Linked DNA regions of Saccharomyces cerevisiae S288C. Changing the gene in region 2 together with the main gene of any one other region gives a genetic interaction. Each region holds a gene or a part of one and is shown on either strand. Other genes may lie near its edges.

What was found.
Region 1: mutations in PSH1 (region 2) and MOT2 are lethal when combined (synthetic lethality), as found in Saccharomyces cerevisiae (one study listed by BioGRID).
Region 3: of PSH1 (region 2) and MET30, changing one enhances a phenotype caused by changing the other (phenotypic enhancement), as found in Saccharomyces cerevisiae (one study listed by BioGRID).
Region 4: mutations in PSH1 (region 2) and YTA6 together harm fitness more than expected from each alone (negative genetic interaction), as found in Saccharomyces cerevisiae (2 studies listed by BioGRID).

The regions. Positions count from the first base shown.
Region 1 is NC_001137.3:288,614-296,826, forward strand, and holds MOT2 (CCR4-NOT core ubiquitin-protein ligase subunit MOT2), read left to right. Parts: upstream 1-4,436; coding exon 4,437-6,200; downstream 6,201-8,213. Other genes in the region: RRT13 (Rrt13p), read left to right, coding at 1,629-2,186; RGI1 (Rgi1p), read left to right, coding at 3,453-3,938; ARG56 (bifunctional acetylglutamate kinase/N-acetyl-gamma-glutamyl-phosphate reductase), read left to right, coding at 6,797-8,213. UniProt on the Saccharomyces cerevisiae protein: E3 ubiquitin-protein ligase component of the CCR4-NOT core complex, which in the nucleus seems to be a general transcription factor, and in the cytoplasm the major mRNA deadenylase involved in mRNA turnover.
Region 2 is NC_001147.6:226,943-234,494, forward strand, and holds PSH1 (ubiquitin-protein ligase PSH1), read left to right. Parts: upstream 1-1,671; coding exon 1,672-2,892; downstream 2,893-7,552. Other genes in the region: AIM39 (Aim39p), read left to right, coding at 3,143-4,330; DDR2 (Ddr2p), read right to left, coding at 4,628-4,813; adenosylmethionine decarboxylase SPE2, read right to left, coding at 5,504-6,694.
Region 3 is NC_001141.2:263,595-272,030, reverse strand, and holds MET30 (ubiquitin-binding SDF ubiquitin ligase complex subunit MET30), read right to left. Parts: upstream 3,381-8,436; coding exon 1,458-3,380; downstream 1-1,457. Other genes in the region: putative protein phosphatase regulator PIG2, read right to left, coding at 1-870; YIL046W-A (uncharacterized protein), read right to left, coding at 3,558-3,722; SYG1 (Syg1p), read left to right, coding at 4,208-6,916; aminophospholipid-translocating P4-type ATPase NEO1, read right to left, coding at 7,139-8,436. UniProt on the Saccharomyces cerevisiae protein: Substrate-recognition component of the SCF(Met30) complex, an E3 ubiquitin ligase complex that mediates the ubiquitination and subsequent proteasomal degradation of target proteins. Negatively regulates sulfur amino acids biosynthesis genes expression.
Region 4 is NC_001148.4:413,779-421,612, reverse strand, and holds YTA6 (putative AAA family ATPase YTA6), read right to left. Parts: upstream 5,851-7,834; coding exon 3,586-5,850; downstream 1-3,585. Other genes in the region: guanine nucleotide exchange factor MUK1, read right to left, coding at 1-665; YPL071C (uncharacterized protein), read left to right, coding at 1,095-1,565; putative ubiquitin-specific protease UBP16, read right to left, coding at 1,602-3,101; transcription regulator GCR1, read right to left, coding at 6,251-7,834.

The DNA.
Region 1 (8,213 bases), on a different chromosome or scaffold from region 2:
AAAATATCATCCATTTGGGGTAGTATTCATGCTACCAGTATATCCTGTATGCGTAATATTATAGCCTTTTCCAACAGTGCACCCAAATATAATCACAAATCACCCAATTCTCAAATTCACTTGTTAAAATGAAAATACCAAAGCCTCATCATACCGTTCTATTGTCCATCTCCAACACAAAAGTACCATAATAATTTTCCGATTCGACACGAATACAGATAGATGGGCACATGGCAAACTTAGCTCAGTATGGGCTTGTAGGTTGTAAACGAGTCAGAAATTTCAACAATAAAAAATACATCAGATAGTGTTTCGATGTTCTTAATTACACGTGAATTATCAAAAACCATCAACATACCAGCCAACATCAGTGTAGGTGGAATAAAACTTTCTTACCATGTACAGTAAATGGACCATGACGCCGTGCACAAGCTTATGCATAATGAGCTAAGCGGGAAGACATTTTCAAACTACGTGATAGTTCCGACTGCCCTTTCAATTGCTAATGTAGCAATATGTTAGGAATGCAATATTCCAAAATGCTGTCTGTGTCAGTGAGAATAACAAAAACATTGAATAAACTTTTCTATGGTAATAACCACGCCAGATAAGGGCGTTGCCATCGTTTTCATTTTTTTTTTTTTTTCAAATGGTGGGGTCACCGTTGTGAAAAGAAACCTTTGATTCTCAACCATATCGGTACTCGGACTAATCACTTAAATCTTTCCAAGGGATTATCGAGAATGTCATAGTGCAAAATAATCTTAGCTTTCAATAATTTTTTCATTTGGAGTCACACTCCCGTTAAAACCTAGTCAACGGCTTCCACTTAAAGCTATCAACAAGGGGCAATTGATTTTGCATTTTCGTCTAAATGAAAGTTGCAGCCAGCAATTTACCCGAAGTTTAAATAAATCAATGCAAACCATGTTCAACTTAAACAGCAATCGCTTTCTATTACCTTGGAATTATATCAGAACGTCTATCTGCGAAGCTTTAATAAAGTACTGGAAGTTGTGTCTGAAATGTCTGTTTTGGTAAATTTGTTTGATCCTGATTATACACCTCAAAGGACCACGTTAAGTGGCCATATGACGAGTGTTATTGCGTGCTTGCAAGTTGAAGATAATTATGTCATTACAGGAGGATGTGATAAAACGATCAGAGTTTATAACTTAGTAAATAAAAGATTTCTTTTACAACTATCAGGTCATGATGGTGAGGTTTGGGCATTGAAGTATGCCCATGGCGGTATTTTAGTCAGCGGTTCTACAGGCAGAACGGTGCGAGTTTGAGATATTAAGAAAGGTTGTTGTACCCATGTGTTTAAAGGTCATAACTCTACGGTGAGGTGCCTAGATATAGTAGAATATAAAAATATCAAGTACATTGTTACTGGTTCGAGAGATAACACTTTGCACGTTTGGAAATTGCCCAAGGAGTCCTCCGTTCCTGATCATGGGGAAGAACATGATTATCCATTAGTCTTTCATACCCCTGAGGAGAACCCATATTTTGTTGGTGTTTTAAGAGGACATACGGCGACTGTAAGAACTGTCTCAGGCCACGGTAATATTGCCATTAGTGGCTCCTATGATAATACATTGATTGTGTGGGATGTTGCGCAAATGAAATGTCTATATATCTTGAGTGGACATACGGATCGTATTTATTCGACAATCTACGATCATGAAAGAAAAAGGTGCATCTCTGCCAGTATGGATACCACTATTAGAATTTGGGATTTGGAAAATATAAGGAATAATGGAGAATGTTCCTACGCAACAAATTCAGCATCGCCATGCGCCAAAATACTTGGTGCTATGTACACTTTGCGGGGTCACAGAGCCCTAGTCGGTTTATTGGGATTATCCGATAAATTTTTAGTCAGTGCTTCTGTAGACGGTTCAATAAGGTGTTGGGACGCTAACACTTACTTTCTGAAGCACTTTTTCGATCACACGCAGTTGAATACAATCACCGCATTGCACGTTTCTGATGAGGTATTAGTGAGTGGATCTGAAGGTTTGCTCAATATTTATGATTTAAATAGTGGGCTGTTAGTCCGTTCAGATACATTGAGTGGTGCTGATAATGTTTGGAACGTTAGTTTTAAGGACAACACACTTGTGGCAGCGGTAGAACGAGACAAGCGAAATCTTTTAGAAATTTTGGACTTTAGTTGAAGATTGATGTGAGAATGATGCAGAACTTACCTTGTCACGTTTGGAACTCAGTTGTACTTTTTCGGTGTAAACAAATATAAAACTTTAGAATTTACATTAATAAGTTATGTGCTATTTATTAGTTTAATATATCAACATTAATTACATGCGAGCTATGTATTATTAGCTCAATCAGCAGGACTAAAATCGAGGAAAAAGTAATTTTGTTTATGCCCAGTTCAGTTATCGTCCATTTGTAGCAAATGTGGTACAAGTTGACCCATATTTTCATGCATTGGGCCATGCAGTAATTATCACACTCACTTTGTCATAATGTATACAATGGCCGCTTATTTGCGACTCGTCTCATATTTTTCCTGAAACTGTAGCTGTGTGTAATATTATTCATTAACTTCGATAATTCGGCTACAGAAGACAAGAGCTACATCCTTACTGGTGCGAATAAATGACATAATCTGTCAAGAGTACCGAAGTAAAAGCAACGATTGCCGAACACATCTTCCTGAAGTATCATATGCCAATACAAGGTTTCAATAGGAATTATGAAAGCGGCATTATCACCCTTAATCTGAAATATGTAATGATGACGGTGCAGTATGTTGACTACATTGTAAAGTTGCACTTTCACTCAACTCATGAAATTGATGACATTAATCCTACGTGACTTACACATATGCCATGAACGAAGAAGGTGGCACCAAAAATCCAGCGTTTCCGATATACACGCAGTCAAATGTTCAGACTAAACTTTGGTATTCTGACAACGTGTTGTCATACCTGTTACGAGCCAGAAACGTATTTCTTTTTGGGTGATACAATCTCCAGATGACTGCTTTTTTTTTTTTTACCCCAGATTCAGGGGCCGAAGGAACGGAAATGCGGTGTGGCGAGATTGCGGATGTGCTAAAAAATAATATCCTCGAGGCAACCAGCATAATGTGGACGGCTCTCGGCAATTGACTTCCATAACAAATGCATCCTGTAATCAGGGGTATTATAAGTTACTGTATGGTTAATTAAATATAGAATGAAAGGGGCAGCGTTCTTAAGGGGTATTGCTGGGTGGAAAAATACAAGTGTCTTTACTTGATTGTGTGCACATATATAAGGCAAAAGATTTCTAGCGTATATTTGAATCTTTTGTTCTTCCACGTTCAAATTTCTTTGGTCAAAACATTTCATAAAGGGACAAGTTCTGCATTGTATTCTAATAATTGCCCATAGAACATATAAATTAGGTATCGACTGTTTTCGTCTCCACTTTAAATGACAAAGAAGGATAAGAAGGAAGTAAAAGTTCAAACGGTTACCACGGAGGATGGTGAAACCGTGAAAGTTTTTGAAGACCTGCAGGGTTTTGAAACTTTCATTGCCAATGAAACTGAAGATGATGATTTCGATCATTTGCACTGTAAATTAAATTACTACCCACCATTTGTGCTACACGAGTCGCACGAGGACCCTGAAAAAATTAGTGATGCTGCAAATTCTCATTCTAAGAAGTTCGTGCGTCACCTGCACCAGCATATTGAAAAGCATCTTTTGAAAGATATTAAGCAAGCCGTTAGGAAACCTGAGCTTAAATTTCACGAAAAATCGAAGGAAGAGACATTTGATAAAATCACCTGGCATTACGGTGAGGAAACTGAATACCATGGTAGACCTTTCAAGATAGACGTTCAAGTAGTTTGCACACATGAAGATGCTATGGTATTTGTCGATTACAAAACACATCCTGTAGGCGCAAATTAAAGGTTGTGTCATAGAGAATGTGTTAGTACTGAATCCTAACCTCCCAAATTCATAAGTAGTTTTATGTACCTTTAATGATTTACGATTAGCAACTTTTTGAATTTTTTTTATTGAAATGTTGAGCCCGAAGACGTGAAACGCTATAAAGTAGTATCACTGTTACGCCGCGAAACCTGATAATGTATTGTTAAACTACTACCTGGTCGATGATTATATCGACGCTTCTAAAATGAATGCTATTACCCGAACTTCCACTTGATTGCCGTCTCTTCCCGGGTAACATTGTAAGTGTGAATATGATTTTTTTTTTTGCTTTCTCTTTTCAAAATTTCCGAAAAGCATATCAAGACGTGTACTACATACAGTAAAAGCCCTCCTAGGGTTTTCAGTAGTGGTTCGAATAGTATAGATTACTGCTTTTGTTACTCTGCAACAATCCCAAAACTTAATAAAAAGTACAAAAGACCAAATAAAAGTATCGTATATAATCCAGTCATAATGATGAATCCACACGTTCAAGAAAATTTGCAAGCAATCCACAACGCCTTAAGCAATTTTGATACGTCATTTTTATCGGAGGATGAAGAAGATTATTGCCCTCTTTGTATTGAACCAATGGATATTACTGATAAAAATTTTTTTCCTTGTCCCTGTGGTTATCAAATTTGTCAATTTTGCTACAATAATATCAGACAAAATCCAGAATTAAATGGCCGTTGCCCAGCATGTCGTCGTAAATATGATGACGAGAACGTCAGATACGTCACATTATCTCCGGAGGAGTTAAAAATGGAGAGAGCCAAGCTCGCTAGGAAGGAGAAAGAAAGAAAGCATAGAGAAAAAGAACGTAAAGAGAATGAATATACGAATAGGAAACATTTATCTGGTACCAGAGTTATCCAAAAGAATTTAGTGTACGTTGTTGGCATCAATCCTCCTGTTCCATACGAGGAAGTTGCGCCCACTCTGAAATCTGAAAAATATTTTGGCCAATATGGTAAGATAAATAAGATTGTGGTTAATAGAAAAACACCCCATTCTAACAACACAACCAGCGAGCATTATCACCATCATTCACCAGGATATGGCGTTTACATAACCTTCGGATCCAAGGACGATGCTGCAAGATGTATAGCTCAGGTAGACGGGACGTATATGGATGGCCGCCTGATCAAAGCTGCCTACGGTACTACTAAATACTGTTCTTCTTATTTAAGAGGATTGCCATGCCCAAATCCCAACTGTATGTTTTTGCATGAACCTGGTGAAGAAGCTGATTCTTTTAATAAAAGAGAACTCCACAATAAACAACAAGCGCAACAGCAAAGTGGCGGAACTGCATTCACTAGATCTGGAATACACAACAATATATCTACCAGTACCGCTGGTTCAAATACCAATTTACTAAGTGAAAATTTCACAGGCACACCTTCACCGGCGGCGATGAGGGCTCAGTTACATCATGACAGCCATACAAACGCTGGAACACCGGTATTAACACCTGCTCCGGTCCCTGCAGGGTCAAATCCTTGGGGAGTTACTCAATCAGCAACACCTGTAACCTCTATCAATCTCTCTAAAAACAGCAGCTCCATAAACTTGCCAACATTAAATGATTCTCTGGGCCATCATACTACCCCCACAACAGAGAATACCATCACAAGTACGACAACTACTACCAATACCAATGCTACAAGTCACTCCCATGGTAGCAAGAAGAAGCAATCTCTTGCTGCAGAGGAATACAAAGATCCTTATGACGCACTAGGGAATGCTGTTGACTTTTTGGATGCAAGACTACATTCTCTATCAAATTATCAGAAGCGCCCTATATCTATCAAATCCAATATTATTGACGAAGAAACTTATAAAAAGTATCCGTCTTTGTTTTCTTGGGACAAGATTGAGGCCTCAAAGAAAAGTGACAATACATTAGCCAACAAACTTGTGGAGATCCTGGCTATAAAGCCAATAGACTACACTGCTTCTGTCGTTCAATTCTTGCAGAGTGTCAATGTTGGTGTAAATGACAATATTACAATCACAGATAATACGAAAACTCCCACCCAACCAATAAGACTGCAAACCGTCTCACAGCAAATCCAACCACCATTAAACGTCAGTACCCCTCCACCGGGTATCTTTGGTCCACAACATAAGGTTCCTATTCAGCAGCAACAAATGGGTGATACAAGCTCAAGAAATTCCTCTGATTTACTAAATCAACTAATCAACGGAAGGAAAATTATCGCCGGTAATTAATCCGACTCTAAATATTTTTCTTGTTTGCATTAACCATAATTTTATCTATTTTTATTTCTCATGAATATATAATCTCTCCGTTTATAACGAAATGCAAGAAAAAAAAATCTCACCCATTTTTTTAAACCTTTGACGTGGAAAGGTATCTGGGAAAGGTATCTGGCTAATGAATAATGCCATAGCATATACCAGTATAGTCTATTTACTCGTTACAACGTATGAAAGCGTCAGCGCTGCAAGAATGACTAATTCATAGAAAATAATCATCATGATATATATCATAATGCACGGAACCTGCTTCGCTAATTTTTTCACTTAAATCACATTTTTTCAACGAAATCTCTTGCGCAGTTGGTTGGAATTCTTATCCGAATGACTCAGTCTACATCAAAAAACTGTGGCCGAATGGTGGTAATTGATGACTCTTCTATTTTTTTTTTTCATATAAAGAGCTTGCGCGCGTGTTGTTGTTCGCTATCCATTTCCATTAGGAACATTTTTGGATATTATTTTTCAGACCCGTAATATACTTAACACATATACCACTAAAGGCAAAAGAAAGAGAGATCTGAAGTGAGAAATAAGTCTGCATCATTATGCCATCTGCTAGCTTACTCGTCTCGACAAAGAGACTTAACGCTTCCAAATTCCAAAAATTTGTGTCTTCATTAAACAAATCCACCATAGCAGGATTTGCATCTGTACCCTTGAGAGCTCCACCATCCGTTGCATTTACGAGAAAGAAAGTCGGATACTCAAAGAGGTATGTTTCATCTACTAACGGCTTTTCAGCTACTAGATCCACTGTGATCCAACTGTTGAACAATATCAGCACAAAAAGAGAGGTTGAACAATATTTGAAATATTTCACTTCCGTCTCACAACAACAATTTGCTGTGATCAAGGTGGGTGGTGCCATTATCAGCGACAATCTACACGAACTCGCTTCCTGCTTGGCATTTTTGTATCATGTTGGTCTATATCCAATAGTTTTACATGGTACCGGTCCTCAGGTTAATGGAAGGCTAGAAGCGCAGGGAATTGAGCCAGACTATATTGATGGTATTAGAATCACGGATGAGCACACAATGGCCGTAGTTAGAAAATGTTTTTTGGAACAAAATCTTAAGCTAGTTACTGCATTAGAACAGCTAGGGGTCCGTGCAAGACCCATTACTTCTGGTGTTTTTACTGCTGACTATTTGGATAAGGACAAATACAAGCTAGTGGGCAATATTAAAAGTGTCACAAAAGAGCCAATTGAAGCATCTATTAAGGCAGGTGCCCTACCAATCTTGACCTCTTTAGCCGAAACTGCTTCTGGTCAAATGTTGAACGTCAACGCCGACGTAGCTGCTGGTGAATTAGCCCGTGTTTTTGAGCCTTTGAAGATCGTTTACCTGAATGAGAAAGGGGGTATTATCAATGGCTCCACGGGAGAAAAAATTTCGATGATCAATTTGGATGAAGAGTATGACGATTTAATGAAGCAAAGTTGGGTGAAGTATGGTACCAAATTAAAAATTAGAGAAATTAAAGAGCTTTTGGACTATCTTCCTCGTTCTTCTTCAGTTGCAATCATTAACGTTCAAGATCTACAAAAAGAACTGTTCACTGATTCTGGTGCGGGTACTATGATCAGGAGAGGTTACAAATTAGTGAAGAGATCCTCCATTGGCGAATTTCCATCCGCTGATGCTCTAAGAAAAGCTCTTCAAAGGGACGCTGGCATTAGTTCCGGTAAAGAATCTGTTGCTTCTTATTTAAGATATTTGGAAAACTCTGATTTTGTCTCTTATGCTGATGAACCTCTTGAAGCAGTGGCCATTGTAAAGAAAGATACGAACGTTCCCACACTAGACAAATTTGTCTGTTCTGACGCAGCCTGGTTGAATAACGTCACAGATAATGTATTCAATGTTTTGCGCCGTGATTTTCCTGCTTTACAATGGGTAGTCAGTGAAAATGATGCTAACATTGCATGGCATTTTGATAAGTCTCAAGGTTCATATC
Region 2 (7,552 bases):
AGCTGATAATCCGTTTTGGCAACTGATTACTTCCCAAAGACTCCTTATATTAGGATTGTCTAGACACCCCGGTATTACTCGAGCCCTAATACAACAGTAAAAGTTTGTAAATATATAGAATTAATTGGTCACAATTGTTTGATGCTCCCCTTTCAATTAACGAATATCTATTGACTGGTATTTATATTACTATTATATTATCATATAAGACGTGACAAGATGACATAAAGACTAAGAAACAGTCATTAGATTCATATGAAAGCTAAATGCAAGGATAAATATTGTAATAAGATAATAAGGGCCTGCACATAAAAATGGGAAGAATAAAAAGAATAGTAATAATAATAATGATGATGACGATGATGATGATGATGATGATGATGATGATGATGATTATGATTACAATGTATTTGATAATATACTAGTATCACGAATATTACTAAATGGATGACACTCTAGAGTTTCATCTGAATAATTACCAAATTATTCACCTATCTCTTAGTAGTATACCTATTTTTTCGTTTAATTAGTGTCCTTATTGGCTTTAAAGTAATTAATGCAGATGGTTCATGGCATACAAAAAATACTTTGTTTCGTTTGTTTTTTTTTTCTTTTTGTTATGATTTTATTAGCCTAATAATGTCCTAGAGTTAACAAATGTAAATTGTAAGAGGATACATTACATCTACAAAAATTAAAACCAGTTAACTCTCTATCCTCATCCTTTTAATTTTGTTGAATAAGAGGCAACCATAAAGGTTAAGAAATAGCATCAGATGTAATGGAAGCTGAAAAATGCAATGATTGATTATTCAATAATAGTGAATAACGGCGTGTAAATGAATAAGAAATGGTAATAATAATACTGATGCCTTTTTATGGATTCCTATATCCTTGTGGAAAACCTCTTGAATACTGGGTGAATAATTTGATAATTGTTGTCATTCCATTGTTGGTGAAGGCTATAATATTATGTATACAGATTATAATAGAAATTTTCCTCGAGGATATAGGAATCCTCAAAAAGGAATCTATATTTCTACATACTAATATTACGAATATTCCCAATTCCGTTTTATACATTTCATTATCCTATTACATTATTAGTCCTTGCATTTCGCTTCAATCAATCTAACTGTTTCCCAATCTTTATGTTATCTTCTTACACTGCATGTGATAATATACTAGTAACACGAATACTACTAAAAAGATGATATTTTAAAGTTTCATTCCAACACCTCTAACATGTTCTATATACCTAATATTAAACCTTTATTAATAATGGAATCTCAACAATTGTCTCAAAATTCTCCCATTTCTCACAATCTTGTGCATTGAGAACTGTGCATCATTAAGTTTCTAAAATTTAGATCTTTCATAAAATATTAGACTCCATGGCCAAGTTGGTTAAGGCGTGCGACTGTTAATCGCAAGATCGTGAGTTCAACCCTCACTGGGGTCGTTATTTTTGAATACCCAATACTTTTTTTTCGGGCCATTTCACACAATGGCGTTTTTTATCCTATGTCCACTACAATTTAGATGAGCTCTCTTCTAGCATACAACTGCGATGAGGAATTTGATAATATTCTATTTTAAGCATTAAGTTTTCAGAAAACGAACGATCGCGTTTTTTCTCAGACAGAAAGTTTTAATATATTGATAAGAATAATGGGCGACGAATTACACAACCGTTTACTTCACCAAAACGATGGCACCAAGGACGCCATACTTTATAAGATAATAGAATCGTTAGTTTGCTCCATCTGCCACGATTATATGTTTGTACCGATGATGACACCTTGTGGTCATAATTATTGCTATGGTTGTCTGAACACCTGGTTTGCCAGCAATACTCAAAAAGAATTGGCTTGTCCGCAGTGCAGATCTGATATTACCACCATTCCCGCATTGAATACAACGTTGCAACAGTATCTATCATTCATTTTAGAGAAATTAAGGGACCAGAATGATGAATCTTTTAAAAAACTTTTAACAACTAAAACCAAGGAGGAAAATGATTACAAGAATGACAAGGAAAAGGACACATTGTTTGACAAAGTATTTAAGAATAGCGCATTGGCAGTGGCCGACGACTCGGATGATGGTATCACACGTTGTAGTAATTGTCATTGGGAATTAGACCCAGACGAAGTAGAGGACGGAAATGTTTGTCCCCACTGCAATGCCAGAATACGGAATTACGCAGGTGGTCGCGACGAATTTGATGAAGAAGAATACAGTGAAGGAGAGTTGGATGAAATCCGGGAAAGCATGCGTAGGCGTAGAGAGAATCGATTTGCGTCTACCAATCCGTTTGCTAATAGAGATGATGTAAGTTCTGAAGACGATGATAGCAGTGAAGAGGAGCCCATGCGAGAACATATCCCACTAGGCCGTTGGGCCAGGTCACATAATCGTAGTATTGCTGTGGATGCTGTGGATGATGAAGACGACGAAGAAGAGGATGAGGAAGAAGAAGAGGAGATGGATTCCGATTTGAAAGATTTTATAGAGGATGATGAAGATGACGAAGATGAAGATGGAAGTAGGAGGAATTTGGTATTGTCTGCACTCAAGAACAGACATGTAATTATTACTGATGATGAGGAAGAGGAGCAACGGCGACATGCTACAGAAGAGGAAGATCGCGATAGTGACTTTTACGAGCATAATGATGATGGTTTTGTAAGTGGTGATAGCCTTGATGAGGATCAGAAGGAGGTTACACGGATACAATCGAGTTCTGATTCCGAAGATCGTTCACTTTCGTATTCCGGCTCCAGCGATGTCAAGGATAACAATGACGATAACACGGAAGAATTAGATGACCCACAACCGAAAAGGCAGAAACGCTTCCGTGTAGTTCTAGGAGACAGTGACGATGAATAATCTGAACATTTTAACTAGCGGGAACGGCATATGTACGGAACTTTTATGTATGTTTTTAAAAAATTTCCTTTCTATCCTTATTACATTAAGATTTTTAAGCGATAGTAGGATCGGAAATATAAGCACTCGTTTATGATATAAATAGGTCAAGAATTTCGTAAAGTAAAATCAATACATATGTGAATCTTTTTTTTTTTTTTTTTGGGACTGCTATTGGTATTTTTTTAGCGTCACGTTAATCAGCCCAATTATGTGGGGGTTATGCAAGAAGCATTTTCCGAGCAATAAAATTCAAGTGCAGGAGAGAAACAAAGCATTAAAACCAAAGAAGAGTGGCAGCGAACATAAGACAAAGCAACTGTTTCCTGTATTCAATTGCAAGAAGAAGGAAAAAGGGGTAATGATACGGTTTGCGATTCTACGTAATGCTAACACATCTCTACTGTCCGCGAGAAGTATATGCTTATTTACCCAGGCGCCTACCTATTGTCATGTAAGGTTGAATACCTTGAATAAAAGCATTACAACTAAAAGAAATTCATTGACAGAGTCGAAAAGGCATGTCCATGATGGCAAGCATTTTTTTACGACGCCACATCAACAGCAACAGACGAAGTTGGGGGAAATTGAAGAGGGACACAGTCCTAACATAAAAGGAGAGGACTTGAGAAGCATTGGTCAAGCAATAACACATCAGCGAAACAAGCGCCGAAAGCAAATATGGTCCGCCATATTTGGTGGTATATTCGGTGTGATATTAGGATACTCACTAATCTATAGAGTGATATATTTAAAGGAACAAAGTTTCTTACCATTGTTTCCATCATCCAAGATACGTAAACTGAGTACCAGAGATTTGAAAAAGGTTGACGTAAACCAAGTACAGAAGCTTTCTAAATTAAGGGTTTTAGAGATATTATCCGGTCATGACATGATCAAGGAACAATACGGAGTACCATTGCTTGATAAAGATGGCAATTCACCCACGTTAAATGAATTCAGCATGTGGTGCGAAGATCAAGATCCATGTGTAACTGGTATTGTAATGGAGCCAGACGATAAAAGGGATAGTTCGCACACTTGGTATAGAATACCCTTTGTTTGCAAATGGAGGATAACGCATCGGCCAATAAGTATACGGGGAACCATCGACGATTTACTGAACCGCATTGGTTTGGAAACAGCCGATTTATTTGAGATTATATCGCCGGAGAGGGTATACGGGTCGTTCAAGTACGAATACCCACTGCAGGGGGACTCACATGCATTACACCTTTGGTTTCATGGCGAAATCGAACTGGACGATGATTCTTTGATTGTATATAATGGAAAATACCACGTTGATGTTAAATTGCAAGAAATCGACCTCTTCAGACGTGAAAAGAACGGACAACTAATACAGTACGTTCTATACAAAAACGAAGCGGGCGACAAGTAAGAAAAATGTAAATATTTTTATCACAATTATGATTATTATCGTTATTAAACTACTTATTTTCGGTTACGTAGATGAAATAGTGTTATATAAGAATATTTGAGAAAGTAAAACTGATAAATAAATATAATGGAATGAAAAAATAGAGACGAACTGGAAGAAGAGAAAAAAAATTAAAGCACCAAATTTACTACTCTGGGGCCTATAGATGGAATATCAAAGGGGAAGATGAGAAAAGAAATTATACATTTCAGAAACGTCAATAGGGTATCATCATCGTGGCAGTAAGCGGCGTTTTTCCTAAATCAAAAAGGCCAAAGCACCACCAACAGCAGCACCGACGACTCCGGCGTTTAGTAGTTGACCATTTTGAGCGTGCAAAGCAGGAGCAGCGTTACTCGTGGTGTTGGATGCGTTTTGAGCATTTACGCTAGTAGCGAGGCCGAAGACAGAGATGGCAGAAATGAAAACTTGTGATACTTTCATGTTTAAATCGATATTAAATTAGCGTGCTTGCTTGGAGGGCTTTTCAGAATGAAAAAAAAAAGAATGAAGAAAGAATTAACCAAAGAATGGAGGTTATGTGTAAGAAATGGCATTTATATATACATTTATATAAAAATGTATAAACATACTTGCATTATTGATGTCCCATAAGGGGTGAGAAAAGACAAAAATGGAAACAGGGGAAAAGAAGAAGAGTAAAAAAAGGATTATTTTAGGAGAGAAAGGGGATTAGAAGAACATCGGGCATAAACCTTTGAGCATCATCCTTTATTGATGTTTGACACCTTGCGATTGATGAAAAATATTGATGATATTAAGGTATTTCTGATAGCCACTGCCCCGTCCCTTGAAGCGGCCTTCCGTCGAGGCCTTGGCAACCGTGTCTGGGTGTGTGATATATTACATCAGAGGAAATAAAAGCTTGAGCGGCTAAACTCCCTTAGCTCAGGGGTGGTCTGGCCAGGAATTTTCAGTGGCCATTTTTCCTGTTCCGGGTCCGGCCAATCTGTGCCGGTTTTCTCTAGAGGAAAAAAAAAAGCATGCGGGGTAATGATGTAGAAGATATACAAGCGGGTTAAACTACATTAGTTATGAGTGCTAGAAAGCAAGCGAAGGATAATAGAAGAGGGCTATTCTATGTAAGTATGAGGAGACACAAATGGCGGCTTTTCATATTTTCTTCTGCAATTTCATATAGAAAAGGTGGTAGTCGTCCAGATCATAAACAATTTTGTCTAACTTGATGTAGTCGGGCAGTGACTCGTTGATGCTTAGTAGTTTTTGGAAGGATTGGTTCTGATAATTTTTGGTAAAAAAGGTCATCGAGAACTCTCTTGGTTGAAAAACGTTCAGAATATGTAGAAGAACGTCCAAGTTGTCTTGCTTCCCTTGGGAAATGTCAAATACGGGTATGTTACTTTCGAAAGAGGCGTAAGACCAACCCTTTTCCGGAGTCACGTGCAGGGTGTAATAGTATTTTTCAGCGAGAATCATATTGGATGAGTATCCACATGGCGTGAACGCAAATGCATCGTGGTGAAATGATAAATCGGAGTCTTGGGCCGAGTTGACATATATTTCGTCAAGCCTTGTATTTTTAGTCATTTGGTAGCCGAGGTTGTGGCCCTTATCTTCGTTTGGCTCCACGAGAGCGGTTGTGGATGCCTCAGGCCCGCAAACAAACTTACTAGCGCATTCTGGGTCCAGCTCCGTCATCAGTACTTCGAAAGTTTCGTCGTCATCCTCGATGTACTCCTTTCCCTTAGGTGTGGAGCGGTCCGTCTCGGTGACGTACAGGTTCCAGTGGTTGCTCTTGTCATTTCTTCCCACGGAATAACTTTTACCATTGTCGAAAAATTTGTTCAAATAGTCGACTTCGTCAGCCCAGTTTTGATGGATAGCGGCTTGCTTACAGGGGAAAAGGAAACATCGTCTAGAATAAAACACTTTAAATGGTTTGTACTTGCCCCCTTGTGTTGTGCGGAAAGCCCACGATAACTCTTGCTCAACGATCTGGAAAAGCTTTTCGAGACAGAACAATGTGGTTGTAGTACCGCACGTCTTCATCGTCAATTTGTGATCGAAGACGAAGAGGGAAGACTCACTCAACAAAAAGGCATCCAGTTCTTTAGTCTTCTTCATGGAAAGAACTTCGCATTTCACTAATTTCAAAATCTCGATCCATCTATCCATGCCAATATTTCTTAATGTCTTTTCGGTCGTGATGGACTTCTTGTGAGGGAAGAACCAGATTTCCAGCAACTTCTCGGGACCCTCGAACGCATCCGTTGAGTCTAAAGTGGCTGATAGTTCGTGGTCAATGTAGTTGTGGTTAGTCAATTCTTTTATGGTGACAGTCATTCTATGGTCCGCCTATTTGCGTAAGACACTATATGAAAACCTAAAAAATATAAAAAAGAAGCTACAGTACAGTAATTGATTAACCTGGAAGAAAAAAAAGAAAAAAAGAGTTGATGCAAGGAGCGAGCTGTAGCGAATACAATATATACACGTATAGATATGCAGAGATGCTTTTAGTCGATTAGCAAAGTTTATTCGATGCCTAAATACCGGAGAACCGTGTTTGGAATTTTTTTTCTTCGAGTGGAAAAAAGTGAAAATTTCCAAAGTCAATCATTGTGTACGTACGCTGAAATTGGATGCAGAAGAGGTAAAAGGCGAAGGAAAAGAGGGCGAGGGTAAAAAGCCTGATTGCCAAACCATGGTGCCCAATTTATTGGATATTACTACTGATGGAAGGCTACATATCTCTGGCGCTTTCTATCAGCTGTCATCGATTTGAAATTCTTCTAGCCCTAGGAACGCCATTATGGGGCTTATCCGGGTAGCCAGTTGGCGGTTTTAGTTTTTTCACTTCTTGATTTTTTTCTAGTTCGAAGAATTTTTTCCACTGATGATTGAGCTATAAAAGAGCCTGATTAAGATGAAGAGCTCCGATTCTCTTCGTTAACGGAGCATCAAACATGACGTTAGCGTCAAGTAACCTACGATATTTGTGCAACAGACATGATGGAGTACCCTCATGCTTTGGCGCGTGCGCATCTATATAAGGTTAGGGACTGCAAAAGAAGCGGCGAGGCAGCCCACATCAAGTGGAACTACACAGACTTCCTTGTCGCGATACTACGGTCCCAAGAGCAATCCTAACAAGCAATTACATATTCCCCCGCTGAACCTGTACAGTCCACGGATGGTGCA
Region 3 (8,436 bases), on a different chromosome or scaffold from region 2:
TTTAAACTTCTTTTTTTTATTTCTACGATTATTAGAATTTGTACCAAATAGGAATACACCCTTCGGGTTTTGTAGCCATGTATCTCCATATTCGTTTTGGTTGTTTTCAGATAGTAAATCTTCTATAGGTACGCTATCACTACCGCCATTAAGGGCACTTAGTCTCGTCAAAGGCTTATGCTTGAAATTCAGAACATCTTGTTGAACCATTTGTTTGCCAACATCTATGGGTTTCTCATTTTCATTGAACAGCTTTATTGGTAAAACACGATCGAAATGGACACTTTTACTTCTTTGCAATAGCCTAGTATCTACATGATCTAAATTGACATGTTTACTCTTAGAGCCAGTTTTGTTGAATATAGATTTGGGAGTAATGGGTAGGGACTTGGATCTTCTTTTTAATGAACTCTTAACCAGTTCTCCAGATTTCTTGTAAATGGGAGGTGAAGGATTACCATTTTCCTCGGATTCATACTGGAAATTATCATGTGATAGAGGAGAGATTTCGTCTTCCTCCTCGCCTAATTTACTGACGTCTTGATGATGTGCGTTAAAGTTCGCTCCAGAATTTATAAACGGGTGATGGGCATGAACTTGTTTCCCATTAAAATACATTCCCTTATTCATGTCCGTATTTCTTTGAAGCTCGTCCTGAGGTAATCTGTGCAGTTTTACATTAGATAGTCTCCTGGGCTTGTGCAAAAACTCCAGAGAGTTCAGCCTGGCAGGGTGCATGTGCATGCTCATACCAGCAAAAGTTCTTATATTCGCATTTATGTTTCCATAGTTATTGTTGTGGGCACTGTTATTAGGAAGATTTAAAGGTTCATCCATCAGTATATTTTGTGGTTGCGTGGTGGTGGCCATACGGATAAAAGCAATAATACTAGCTAGCTATATTATCTTTTTTTATTTATTATTAAGCTATTACCAAAGCTGGCGCCTCAACTGTTGGGTTCTTGTCTATTTTATGTATATTCTATATTTCAAGGATTACGGAATCGATAAGTATTCTATTATGTAATCGCCTTTATATACAATGGCCGTGCGCGTTTATATAATAAAGTACCTTCGCCCTTTGGATTTATTAGTACTGTTGAGGGAACAATATTGCAGATTATGGATCTTGTACGACATTTTATGCGTACGCCCTCTTCATCATCGCCGTCAATATAATAAGCTTTATCTTCAGTCCCCCCCTTGACATCCCCCTTAGCGTGGGAAGGGCTCCGTGGGGGAGTAATAGCATCTAATGGTCAAGAGTTTTATCGAGACGAAAAAGAGGAAGGAAAAAAACTGAAGATGGAAAAGGCTAGTGATACGCTAGCGATTTATTTTTTTCCTGGAAATAAAATAAATGTAAAATGCTATTATGTATTTTTCATTATATATGTAAGCATATATATTCGAGGTACTACGGATGTTTTTGACCAAGAAAAGACCACACACAGGTCCTAATCATTGAGATCGAATTTGTACATTTTTACGCACCCAAATTCATCACCACTAAAGCATTCTGAATCTCCAATACAAACACAAGCGATAGGGGCGACTTTATCACCCAAGGATTGTGTTTGTGTGTGCTGAGTTTCTCTTTGTAGTCTTCGACCGTTGAACGTGTGCATACACTTCCCGCTTTGCAAGTCCCAGACCTTAATGCTTCCGTCGTGAGAACCACTTATAATTCTGAAGTTGTCAGCGGCGATGTCCCAAACACCTTCCACGTGCCCAAACTGTGTTCTTATGCATTTACCGGTTTTGACGTCCCATAGTTTGATTGTGTTATCCAGTCCGCAAGATAGTAGATGTGTTGGATAAGGTATGTTTTCATCTAAGACAGTTTCTTGCTCGTTCGACGGTGTGTCTGATTCGTCTGCACCATCAGTCATTGTTGGGTCATCCTGCGGAGAGCTGCCATCAGAAGTGTTGTCGGTGGCTAGATTCTCTACATCCTTAATGGTAAGCGGTATGATCTTTTGCACCTGCCCTACATGACCCCTGAACACTTTTAGGCATGAATTGGTCCTGATATCCCACATTCGGATTGTGGTATCGTCACTGCAACTAAAACATGAAAAGCTTTTCGGATGCAATTTGACGCAATTAACCCATTCCGTGTGGCCTCTCAAGGTGTAGCATGTCCTGGACTCCACGTGCCATACCTTGACCGTCTTGTCAGCACTGCCGGAAACGATAACCTTCTGGTATGAATCTACGCTCAGAACGCTATCCGAGTGGCCTCGATACGTGGAAATGCATTCACCGGTTATGTAGTTCCAAACACGGATCGTCTTGTCGAGCGAGCCCGTAATCAGCTTTCTATCGTCAAAATATAATGTCTTGACGCCGTCCGAATGGCCGCTGAGCCTTCGTATTAGCTTCCCCGTGAATAAGTCCCATATACCTATGGTGGAGTCGTACGAGCCTGTGAACAAAAGCCTGTAGTTAAACTGGAGCGTTAACACACCATCCATGTGGCCCTTGAATTCCTGAATCCTGCAGTGGCCCTTTCTCCAGTTTGACTCCACTTTGAACCGTTCTCTGTAGATGACTTTCCAAGGTCGCGTAGTTTGCGTCTGGATATCTGCGTTGCTGCTAGATCCTGTACTATTCTGTTGTATCCGCGCACGTTTCATGTGCAAAAGAGGCAGCCCCCAGCCACAGTTGGGACATTTCCTGTCTATGTGCTGCTCGCACATGTGGTACCATACCCTGTCGTCATCCGCGAGCTTCTGCCACTTGCGGCACACTCTCGTGGCGTTGCAAAGAGATTGGCAATCCAGATAACTCAAGATCTTCAGCGACAGCTCCTGCGGCAGAATGCTGATGAAGTCGATCTTGATCATGTGTGTAACGAGTGACGAAATGTAGGAAAGCTGTGGGAAGCAACTCGTCGATAGGATCCCATCCAGAATCAGCTTCCGTATCTTGTCATTGGAATTGCTGTACTTCGAGATAATGTGGTGGATGTCGGATTGCTCCTGCAGGGGTAGCTTCGCGATATTAGCATTAATCTCTTGCGTTCGTTTCAAATCCTGCTTGTAGCACGCTGTATGAGTTGGTGAGAACTGAATGTCCGGGTTATGCCGATAGCAGAACTTGGTGAAGTTATATTCTGGCAATGGCTGTACCCTAGTGCCGCTGTCGTTTGTCGCCAAATCGGGTGATGACGATGGCGACCTCGTCGCCATCGTCATCTTCTTCTTACCCGATGATCCTTGTGCCAAATCATCGCTACTGCCCGTAATAAGCAATCTCTTTAATGGTGGCATCATCGCCGTATCTGTCATTTCACTGCTGTTATTACTATTACTATTGTCAAGGTCGTCCTTGTCCTTGTCCTCGAAACTCATCATCCTTTGCCTCTCTCTCCTCATGCCCTTCTCCTTTATAAATCACCAAACACACACCCCTTTACCGATACTCAAGCCTCTTCTCTAAACTTCTTTAACTGCAGTCTTCTCTTACGATACAGACTGCAAGGTTGCTTTCTTCTTACGCTGATGAAAAAAAATAAAATATCTCCGCGCAAACTGTGGCTTCCCGATCACGTGCTACAACCTCATTTCTACATTAAAACACACACATTGTACCACACACGCCAACACACATATACACGCACAATCACTCCCACACATATACAAACACACGACATATGAATATATATAGTACACGCGCCAATCCATTAGTTTTTTTTTTGGGATACAGACGCACATCATGGCTTCTTGCCCGTTTAGTGCAATACAATAGCCTTGTGTTGCCGTGCCACACCCTGCAGTTATCTCTCCCAGATCTGTCTTTCCATCCCCTTAGTTGCTATCGCTGCAGCCATTTGTTCAAAATCGTTATCACCATCATTCATCATCACTTATCATTATCATGCACATGCTGCCAGCCGCTGCGGCTGGCTATGTGTTGGTAGTCATCGAGTCGGAAGCCCATCATCGGTGTGGGTGTGAGGCATTTCTAGAACGGATTTTGGGTGCCGTTTGTCACGTGGGACGGGATGCGGTTTTATTTGACGCAAGTTCCATGAACATCATCGCACGGTTTCGCAACAGTTTGGGACTGTACATGTACAAGATGGGTTTTCTCCTTTGCTTTTTTGTTTTGTTTTGTTTGATTTGATGGTTGGTAGTTATTTTTTTTTTTTTTTTAATTCAGTTGGCAGCAATGGAAGGGCTTTACCATAGCACCGTATCAGATGAAGTTTGCTGACCATCTAACCGAGTCTGCCATCCCGGAATGGAGGGACAAATATATTGATTATAAGGTCGGCAAGAAGAAGCTTCGCCGCTACAAGGAGAAGCTGGATGCCGAAGAAGAGCAATCCAGCTCCTACCGGAGCTGGATGCCCTCTGTGTCGGTATACCAGACTGCATTTCAGCAGAGAGAGCCCGGCAAAAGTCGCAGCGACGGAGACTATCGCTCCGGACCTGCGTTCAAGAAGGACTATTCTGCTTTGCAGAGGGAGTTCGTTGCTGACTTCATTGAAGACTGGTTGATCTCGTTCCAGTTGAGTAAGTGTAACGAGTTTTACCTTTGGTTGCTAAAGGAGTGCGACAAGAAGTTTGAGGTTTTACAGTCGCAACTGCACTATTACTCGCTGCAGAAGAATTATGAGCGCGACAACTTGAACCGGTCTAGTTCGAATGTTGACATGTCCACGAGTCTATATGCGGCAGGGCTTGCTGGTCGTTCTGACTCCAGGGTCAATAGCATCGACAGCGATAGCCGGTCTGTTATGTATGGGTCAATGCCCTGCACCAAAGAGGCCAAGAAGCCGCGTTTGTCGCTGCTAGCGTACTGTCAGAAAGTTCTTAAGGACAATAGGCTGCTGCCATCGTGGCCCAAACGTGGATTTTCTCTGCTACAGGACTTGAGACAGGATGCGTCCTCAAGAGGCCGCGAGACGTTTGCTTTTGGCGCTTCTTTTCTGGAGACTATGACGACAACCCAGGCTAGAAACTTGTTAAGCAACGCTATAATCGAGTACTATCTGTACTTGCAATTGGTCAAATCGTTCCGGGATATCAACGTCACCGGGTTCCGTAAAATGGTCAAGAAATTCGACAAAACGTGTCACACAAGAGAGCTGACCACGTTCATGTCGTACGCCAGGACCCACTACACCCTTTTCAAGCACGCGGATGCCAACGTGCAGTTGGTGGCACAGAAGATGCAACAAATAACCAGTTCGCAACCAACACCCACTTCGGAGCTCTCTTCCGCCCAAAGAGACAAAGAGCCCATCACTTGGTTGGAAACGCAGATCACCGAGTGGTTCACCACTGCGTTGACCAATTCGCCTAAGGACAGGAAGCACAATACCCATAAGTTGAAGAAATTGACCATTCAGTACTCTATCTCCGAACAAATGGTTCATAGAAACAACAGATCGATTGTGCAGATGCTGGTTGTCGGGCTGGGCATAGGTGTGTCAATGACTTTGATCACTTACACTTTGTATTTGGGCATTAGCTCTGAAGAAACGTCATTTACGCACAAGATTCTGTTCCCACTGTGGGGTGGTTGGTACATGGTTTTGTTGATCGCGTTTCTCTTTCTTGTTAATTGTTTTATCTGGCATAGAACCGGGATTAATTATAGATTTATTATGCTGGGTGAGATTCAATCCAAGAATGGTACGCAATTTTTCAACAATGATTTTGCCACGAGTAAAATTCCGCTCAAGTTGTATTTCTTGACATTCTTCATAGTACCTTGTGCGGTCTGTTCCATGTTAAGTTTCGCTTTGGAGAAGCTCACACCCTTAGGCTTTTTATATATTGGTATTGTGTCTTTCTTATTTTTATGTCCCTCTGGTCTAATTCCATATTGGGACAAAGTTGTACACACTAGAAAATGGCTGGTGGTTACTCTTATTAGACTGATGATGTCTGGTTTTTTCCCTGTTGAGTTTGGTGATTTCTTTTTGGGAGATATTATTTGTTCGTTGACGTATTCTATTGCCGATATTGCCATGTTCTTCTGTGTTTACTCTCATACGCCCAACAATCTATGTGGCTCTTCACATTCCAGAGCAATGGGTGTTTTATCATGTTTACCAAGTTATTGGAGATTCATGCAATGTTTACGAAGATTTGCTGATTCCGGTGATTGGTTCCCTCATCTTTTGAACGCGGCGAAATACACTTTGGGTATAGCGTATAATGCCACACTTTGTGCTTACAGATTGTCAGACCGTTCTGAACAAAGGAGAACCCCTTTTATCGTGTGCGCTACGTTGAATTCGATCCTTACTTCCGCCTGGGATTTAGTTATGGATTGGTCCTTTGCTCACAATACTACTTCTTACAATTGGTTGCTAAGAGACGACTTGTATTTAGCTGGTAAAAAAAATTGGGAAAACGGCAGTTATTCATTCAGTAGGAAGTTAGTTTATTACTTTGCTATGATTTGGGATATCCTCATTAGATTTGAGTGGATTGTATACGCAATTGCTCCTCAAACAATTCAGCAGAGTGCTGTGACGTCGTTTATATTGGCCCTTTTGGAGGTTTTAAGAAGATTCGTTTGGATCATCTTCAGAGTCGAAAATGAACATGTTGCCAATGTTCACCTATTCAGGGTTACCGGTGACGCTCCTCTGCCTTATCCAATTGCGCAGGTCGGTGATGATTCTATGGATAGTAGTGATTTGGGTTCAAAAGCCTTTTCATCACTTAACGACATACCTATCACGCCTTCACATGACAATAATCCTCACAGTTTTGCCGAACCTATGCCCGCTTACCGTGGGACTTTCAGAAGAAGGTCCTCCGTGTTTGAGAACATTTCGAGATCCATTCCTTGGGCACATGCAACTGATTTCCAAAGACCAACTGTCAATACCGTGGATGATAGGTCTCCCGAAACAGATAGTGAAAGTGAAGTGGAAAGTATTATGTGATTTGGGCTGGACATGATATTTGCTATTGTTAACCTGCTAAAGATGCTTATTTGAGGAAGTACAAAGAAAAGAAAATAAAAAGTAAAAGAAAAAAAATGTAACAAAATAATATTATGCATAATCTATATCTTCTTTGTAAAAATAAGAATTTATATTTTGAAATATGATAGATTTTTTTAAGATAATCCGTTGAAGCAACAAGAAAAATCCAAACCAATTGAATTATGGAGTGGCAAACTCTTGCACTTTTGCATAACTTGGAGGATGTAGCCTTCTATAAATTGCCTTTGCCGTCCAGACAGGAAAGATCGAGATGAGTAATATAACTAAAAGTCCAGCATAGTAATTTACGGTAGTCATATAACCTAAATCAAAATAATCGCCAAGAAATGGAACCGATACAATGTAAAATAGTAAAGTAGCAATTTCAGTGACGAGCATTGTTTTATTCCATGTGTAGATTTCTAAGGCAACCATTATTAATTCATTTACAACCAAAGCAGTGAAGCTGATAGCAACCATCCTTGTGAAATCAGTATCTAATAAACTCGTAAAGGCCTGAGAAAATAATTGAATTACAGAACCTTGGAATAGCGATAATAGAACCCAAACAAAGAACGTCTTATATGATAAGCTCTTACCTTCAGTCAATTCTTTGTACAATTCTGGGTATATTTTAGTCAATGACTCTTCGATATCGTGATCAAGAGTTAATGAAAAGACTGGAGCCATTGTATAGCAGGTAGCATAACCGACCATTAACCAACCTTGATAAAGAGCAATAGGTTCGAACAACGAACAGATGGAATATACCGCTTGGCAAATTGCAATGATTAAACCTCTATGCATGACAAATTGAGCCAATTTAGCAGATCTTTTGTAAGAGTTCCTACCATGCCATAATAGTAATTCGGTGAGGTGACAAAATTGCGTTATAGAAAAATCAGCAGCTAAAGAAGCTTGTTTACCTTCTTTACCCACAATCCCTACGCCAACATCTGCACATTGAATCATACTAACATCGTTACCTCCATCACCAATACAGCATACCCTTTTGCCCGTCATTTTACGAATTACCAAAGCAACGTCTGCCTTCTGTTGAGGTGTACAACGGCAAGCAATAACAGTGGGTAAATGAACCACGACATCAAAAAATTCCTGTTCGTAATGTTTCAAAAACATTCCCAGGGATTCACCATCTATTAAAAGACAAGCATTTCTATTGATTTTTAGATACTCCAGCTGATTGAATGCACCTTCCGGTCTTGTGACTTTTGTTATCGTATGAACATATTGGCCACGAGATATTAATTTTGCACTTATGGAAACACAACGAGCAGTTTCAACTTTATCACCTGTCAGCATCCAAATCTTGATACCTGCGTTTCTTAATAACTCGATAGAGGACTTCACATCCTTCTGTAACTTATCTTCTACACCAGTTAGACCCAATAATTCAAGATCATGCTCTAAATACTTGGTGATAACTTGACTCATCTGTTGATCACGATTTAGCATTG
Region 4 (7,834 bases), on a different chromosome or scaffold from region 2:
TCGATTTTCATGTTGTTTAATTCGTTGATTTTCAATTGCTTTTTTATCTCTTCAGGTGACAACATTTGTGTGGCATTAGTTGAATTTGATATTGACTCATTACTGAAAAGCGATGAAGATCTTCTTGGCCTCATAAGTGAATTTCCACTACTACTCCTACTTCTGCCAAAAATTCCGCTAAGACCACTACTTAACGTTTCTTTGGCAGCCAAGAATGAACTAGAGCCCCCGCCAGAAAAATAATAGCCATTATTATTCGCTGAACTGACGTGCTGGAATGATGCTTTATCAAATTTTATGTAAAAGCTTTGGAAAAGACTAGACAATTGCAGTACTGATAGTGGCCGTACGTACTTTGGCTGCTTTAGGTCATCAATAAAAATGTCAATTAATTTTGATAATTCTGGAGGTAAATTGGTGACAGTGTTCAACGCTTCGTCAATTTCTTGTTTTGTCAATATAGGAGACTTATTGTTTTCTAGCCTTTCTCCTGTTGTAGAGTTTTCATCACCATCACAGCTACTTCTCTCATTGTCATTTTGATCCTCATGTAGATTTTGTTGAAATTGCATGCCGCCAGTTGTGTTCTTGTATGATTCCCTGATGGATTGATTAGGGTCAAACCTTGGATTGGTTATCGGAGGAGTGAATAATTGTCTAGCCATTTGACTTTTATTGTTAGAGGGCGTACTTCTTTTTTATCTGCTCTTCTTCTTGGCTTCTAAAAATACCTTTTGCTCTAAGGGGAATGATGATTTTATGAGTGTCTATAAAGCCAATTCTCTTTCTGCCCAAGATATTAAACACCACACCAATCCGAACAAAATTCAATAGACGAACAACAGTAAGTTTTAATCTATTTTTGCTTCAATGATGCGTTTGGTTGGGTCTTTACTGGAAATCAAATAAGGCTCGGTTATTTGCACACTTTTTTATCCGGGAACCGCTCTTTTACGAAAGCAAATTTCAAAATGTATGTAATACGAAGGCATTAAATTATTCAACAACGGCGCTCGGATATGATTTATATTACACGTCTAGAACGATTAGCAGATAGTAAAACTAGTGGCACGTTTAAATGACTTTTTCATTCCATGAGTTCCCGGTTTGCAAGAAGTAATGGCAATCCCAACCACATTAGGAAAAGAAATCATTCTCCAGACCCAATAGGAATTGATAATTATAAAAGAAAAAGACTAATTATAGATTTAGAGAATTTATCCTTAAATGATAAAGGGCCCAAGAACGGACATGCAGATGATAACAATCTTATTCATAACAATATAGTATTCACAGACGCTATTGATGATAAGGTCCTGAAAGAGATCATCAAGTGTTCCACAAGTAAACGCGGCGACAATGACTTGTTTTATGACAAAATATGGGAACGTTTGAGAGAAAAAAGGCTACAAATAATAAAATGGGTAGATTATAAGGAAATTGCTTATCTAAGCTGGTGGAAGTGGTTCCATAATCAAATGACTTCGAAATACACTTATGATGGAGAGGCTGATACCGATGTTGAAATGATGGCAGTGGATACTGATGTGGATATGGATGCGTAACTTACTATTATTATAATATACCTATGTACAGGGCGGTTATTTATTTACACGTTCGTAGTATAGCATATAAGCATATTTCTGTTCATTCAAGACAGTTGAAGCGGTAGATTCCTTTATGGCGGTATCAGATATTTGCCAATAAGGATACCGCAGGGCGTTTTTGACTTTTTTATATCTGCTTTTTTTGTAATCATTATGTGCAACGTTTTGCTCGCGATTCTTGTTAACTTCATTGTTGACAACTGGTGCTCTTCTGAAGGAAGATTCATCCTCCTTCCCGAAACGAATTTCAGTCTTGCGTCTGTAACACATATAGTGTCCACTCGAATGAGAACCGGTGTGTTTCACAACACTTTTCAAATTATATTTGACTTGCCTGTTTTCTGTTATTGTCCCACTCTCAGCCAATGTATATTCAGAAAGTGTTATTCTTTCTCCAAATTTGACATTGCAGGGATTTCTAGAATATGTAATACCATTGAATGTGGATCTCGATAAGTGAACAATTAATATGTCTGGCAGTTGTACTACTACATCTTTTTTGATGACCTTTCCCTTTATATTAGATACCTGCAAATTGCCCTTTGAGTAACGCTTGACGTACTGTTCTACTTCGAATGGTAAATTTTCGTTAATTGGGGCTTTAGTGGCATAATTTTTCAATCTGTCCAACATTAAAATTTCATCCGGGGTACAGTCCTTGAAATTTCTATATTCTTCATGGTTTAAGATTGCTCTTATTTGGCAGATCAGGCATGAATAGTCGTCTATGATTTCTGTTTCATCGTGTGCTAGAATATTGGATAGATTCTCTGATGTTTGTTGTGGTACGGACAGTTCGCGGATGAAAGTCTGTTTGTATGATGGTTCTGATAGACCCTTGCATTTAAGGCATACTAGAAACTTGGAAGTCTCGCCCTCAAATGGAAACTTTGGTATATTCAAATTACATATCTGTTTACTGTAATCGATCAATTTTGATCGTTCTTCCTGTAATGTTTGTAGTAATATTAATGTAAATTCATGTGCATCATTTTGTTTGGATGAGATCTTTGATTTAAAGATGGACTCTAATGTGTTTATCACTATTTTCGGAGAAATTGACGTCTTACGATCTTTTACAGATATCAAATCCAAAATTAAACTGGTAAGACTTTCGTGTAAGGGGGCAAGTGAATTAGACGAGTTTTCAAGTCGACTATGCCTTGTAGTGTTATCAACTGTAGGATTGTCGCCTTTTGCATTATTTGACAGCTTAGTTTCTAATTCTAGAAGGACCGTTCTTATCCGTTTCAAATATTCTACAAATCGAGGTATTCCAGCCAGGCCTTGCAAAGATGATGTTATGAAGCAATCATTCCCACGATTAATTAAGCCCACTGTCGTGTACTTCCCAATACTCTGCTTAGAATCCCCAAAGACTAGCGCACTTAGGCTGGGTGCAATGGCATATAGAGAAGCAGCAATTATCAAACCACATGAAACTTTTTTAATCAGTGAAGTCGGAGATTCTGTTACATTTTTTATCCAAGACATATTGTGCTTGTAGTAACTGCTGTACCTTGCATATACTGTTTGGGCAGAAGGAGAAGGTCCAATTAGTTGTTGGAGGGTATGGCGCTAACGGTCAAGTGTTTTATAGCTGGACTTTGCTTTCCCATTAACTCAAACGTGTATATAAATTGAGATTGAAGAAGAAACTTTGAATCTAGGTTAACTGGGTGCTATTGATTTATTTTTTTTATTTCACCCAAGTATATTATTTTGTTTTCTTTTTTTATTTCATTTTTTTGGGGCCAATATAGTAAGCAAAAATCCGGAGAACTGTATTGAATATCGTTCTGAGAAAACTAATTGTAAATAAGAAAGAAAAATATCAAATCATAAGGGAACCGAAGTTAGTTTTTCTTTGATAATACATAGAAAGTACATAGGTAATAAAATTAGATCAGAAGCAAGAAGTTGAAAGGGGAAAATTCCTTCTCATACCTTTCTTTGCCATTAAGACGCTCCCTCTCGTTCAGGAACCATTACTACCGAATTTACTAGACCACTCCTCATATTTTTGTAGAGATTCTGACGACACGCTCTTTTTTATTGTCAACAGAGCATTCTGAAAATCTTTTATTTCAATTCCTCTGATTTTATCAAAATCCGCAAACATCAACTTATCTCCTAAATCTCTAATAGGTTCCATTGCCGCTTCTTTGGCTAATGACGTAAGATCAGAACCAGAAAACCCCTCGGTCATTTCTGTTATTAATTCATAGTCTAAATCTTGCAGGCTATTTTTCTGCTTGGCCATTAATCTCTTCAAATGATATAGTCTAGTTTCATAATCTGGTAAAGGAATGTATAGTTTCCGTGAAAATCGTCTTCTTGCTGCATCATCAATCGCCCATGGCAAATTCGTTGCTCCTAAGACAAGTACTCTGCTGTCAAGCGTATTATTTCGGTCTTCCGATTGTGCAGTAGCACTAGATAGGGAGGACCACTGAATAAGAAGTTCTGTTTTAATTCTCCTCGAGGACTCATTTTCATTATCAGAGCGAGCTGTTAACATAGAGTCAATCTCATCTATGAAAATAATTGAGGGTGACAATTTTTTGGCCATGTAAAACAATGCTCTAACCAGCTTCTCAGATTCACCGAGGTATTTCGATAGCAAAGAAGATGCACTTACACTAAAAAATGTGGAATTGGACTCTGTCGCAACCGCCTTAGCAATCATTGTCTTACCTGTACCTGGTGGGCCGAACAAAAGCATACCTCTAACAGGTTCTCTTAGCCCTTTGAATAAGTCAGGCCGCAGAAATGGGTAAACCACTGCTTCTTTCAAAGAATTCTTCGCATTCCGTAAGCCTGCGATATCCTCCCAATAAACTTTTTCATCCGTAACAAGAATTTCATTAAGTATCTGTTCACAAGCGTTTCGATCTACTCCCTGCACTGATTTTAATATATCCTCCTTTCTGGAATCGAGGGATGAACTAGCAGAGCTTTCCTTATCGGGTGTACCACTTTTAGAACGCATGGGTTTGGATTCAGCAGGTACCGCTGTCGCTGAAACGAGTACTGGTGAACTAGGCTCCAAATTTTGCTCATTCCTACGAGAAACTTTGTTAGTATTGGATTTACTAGCCTTCAGCTTGCTATTTGTGGGTATATTCCGTGAAGACTTGCTGTTTTGCCTGTTAAGAGTAGGTGATTTTATAATCGGTCGATTAACTGTTGGCTTTTTGTAGTCATACCTTTTTTTCAAAGGTGGTGTTGGCTTATAACGTATCTGAAGTTCATTTGAATGCGATCCGTTGTTACTCACTTTTGAATGATTTGCCCCGTTTTGATACTGAGACCAGGCTAACTGCGCAGCCATACCTATTTCTGCTGCCTCCATTGATTTTCTTACTGGCGTTCGTACTCTTTCGCCTGAAGTCCGTACAACGTCAAGTGATCTTCTTTTAATTAGGGAGTTGTCAATCTTTCCAGAAGATTTGCTACTGGAAGAGAAGTTGTCGAGGCTAGCCCTTGATTTGTAATTTGTTTTCCTCTCATGTTTCAGGGTTGATATACGTTTTTTCTCCGCTTGTTCTCTATGTTTGCGTTCTTCTTCCTCTCTCTTAACTCTCTCCTCCTCCAACTTTTGGGCCACTTCAAATTCGACCTTTTCTTTAACCTTTAACTCGATCAATTTTTCCCTTTGAAGTTCTAAGTCCCTCTCATACTGAAGTTTTGCTCCTAACTTTTTCTCTTCTTCTAATTTCCTAGCACGTCTGATATTATCAGCCTGTTTGTTGATTTTAGCCTCCTTTTCGTCAGCTTCTTTCAATTTATCTCTTTTGGAACCCATTCTCCAAAGTTTTGGAAAACGCAAACCATTTCCTGTCCCAAGGCCCAAAACGGAAGAGGAGGATGACAAAGAGGGACTACCGTTTCCTTCGGCCATAAGCGTTTCTGCTTTACGACGTGCGATCCTTATATCCTGGCCAAGAATTTGGAAATCCTCAATGATGCTCCTCAATTCAGGATGATCAACTACAAGATTTCCTAACCCTTTCTTTAAGGTATAAGTCTTTTCAATTTTTCGTAGACCTTCATTGACGTATACCAGTAAAGTGTCTAAGTTTTTGTGGATTTTCCCATACGTTACTGTGTCCTTATTACCTTTGCTATTGATTATTAGGTCTGCTAGGTTTTTATATTGATTTTTGACAACAGAGTAAAGCAATTGCAAAGACTGCGCTAATGTGAAGTTCTCAGGTATACTAAACTTTTCATGTGCCATTATCCTAGACTTTTTTGTGTTCCCTCCTCGGACTTTTCTTCACCCAGGGTCTTACCTCTTTTGCTAATGAGATTAATGTTTTTTCCATCTTTCAAAATTTCGGATAGCCCATCTATCCAGCGGGTTTTCTCAATTCGCCAGGGTCTTTGACAAAAAAATTAAGTTTTCGTAACCCATATAGTCAGTCATGAGAATATATATTTAGTCGTTGATGGAAAGACATTTAGGAATTCCCACATAGGCATACATCCGCATAGGTATGTACACACATAAATCTATATAAATATTAAATAAGTATATATATTTTCTATAAAGGTAGTAATAACCTAATGACATTTCTCGTTATCGTCGCTTCGTTATTTTGTTGAAGGAACTATTGTCGCGGACAACCTCAATAAACTTAAGATGGTGTATTATGTCGCCTTTTGCAATACTTTAATTTCTCTTCTTCTGTCATTGATCTAACGTTCCAATTTTTAAAGTTTTCAAAAATACAAATTTCCTTGTTATTTTTCGTTAAATTTCTAAAGTACAATGATAGAGAATTCAGAGTCAGACCGTTATTTATCCTGAACTTTTCTAGGTCCCCTACTAAAATCTTCCGTATATCCTCCCTCGGTTGTTGAGGATTAGTAAACCTGCCGAGTTTTATGCCACGATCACATTCCGTTTCAATATAATCCATAATAATTCTTCTAGTAGGAAAAAAATGTGAATCTTCGCTAACCTTCCACCTTCGCCAGCCATAATTTTCAATCAATTTTTTTATTGAAGATTTACCGTTCAGACCAATATACCACTCCGCATATAGGTCCCATATTGTTTTATTTTCTCTGGACAGCTTGTATTTGATTGCCTCGTTTGGCCCCGCCTTCGTATCCTTTTTATTTATAATTTCAAACTTAGAAGAACTCTGCGGAAATGATGGAGCTGTCTTTGTCACTGTACCACTTGAATTTGCAGCCTCAGTAGAATTATGAATATTAGAAATTGGTACTGGTTTGTCAGCATCCGTACCAAGCGGATTACTGTTTTTACCATTTTTCTCAGGATCTTTCGATTCTGGGCTGTTATCATTGGGCTCCGACTTACTTGACTCTGGCGGTTTCTCCCTATCAACATCATCACCAGCTACCTCGGTGGGACTTTCAGGCATGCTAGTAGTGGAGTCGTTGTTTGGAAGACGAGGTCGTTCAGCTAGTTTTGAAGAAGATGATGGAGAATCTTCATTTACCTTCTTAGAGTTATTTTCCGTTGTTGAACTTGAGCTACCACCAACTACAAAATCTGGAGAATGCTGAAACTGCTGAGGTGAGCGAAAAGATTCCGTGACAGCTGTGTTAGCCAACGTCGAAAGGGGTAATCTAGGGCTTGAAATGGATTTTGTAAGTAAGGAATCAAGAGCCGTCTGAGACGGAGTTGGTTTATCGTCTAGTTTAAAGCGTTTGCTATAGGGAGACTCACCAACGGGTGATGGAGAAAAAGGACTGCCTGTTGCTGCAGAGGCTATTGAACCTGGTAACGGTAGCTTCCTCTTCTGTACTATATCTTGCGGTTGCGGAGCCAAGGTGCCAAGCATCGGCTGTATAGAATTACTTAAGCTCGGGAACATGTTAATTGGCGCTAGCGCAGGGCTATTAGTACTTTGAACCTGTGCATGTGATTGTCCTTTCGGACCCCTTTGATGTGTTTGGGCTTGTCCGTTGGGCTTGGAGTGATTAGGATCTATCGACTGAACCAAATTACTCAGTACGTTCGAATTGATGCTATTTTTATCTAGTATTAATATCCCCCCACCTGTGGAAGACACAATATTTTCGGACTTTGATCCGATCGCCTGATTTCCTGAAAGCAATTGTCTCTGCAACAGCAAAATTTGGTTACAAACATTGCCTACGGAGTTCATATCTGCTTTTAGTTGTGTTATTTCTTGACTTAACCTGATATTTTCTGTAGTTAATTTTTTTGATAATTCCATAAAGTA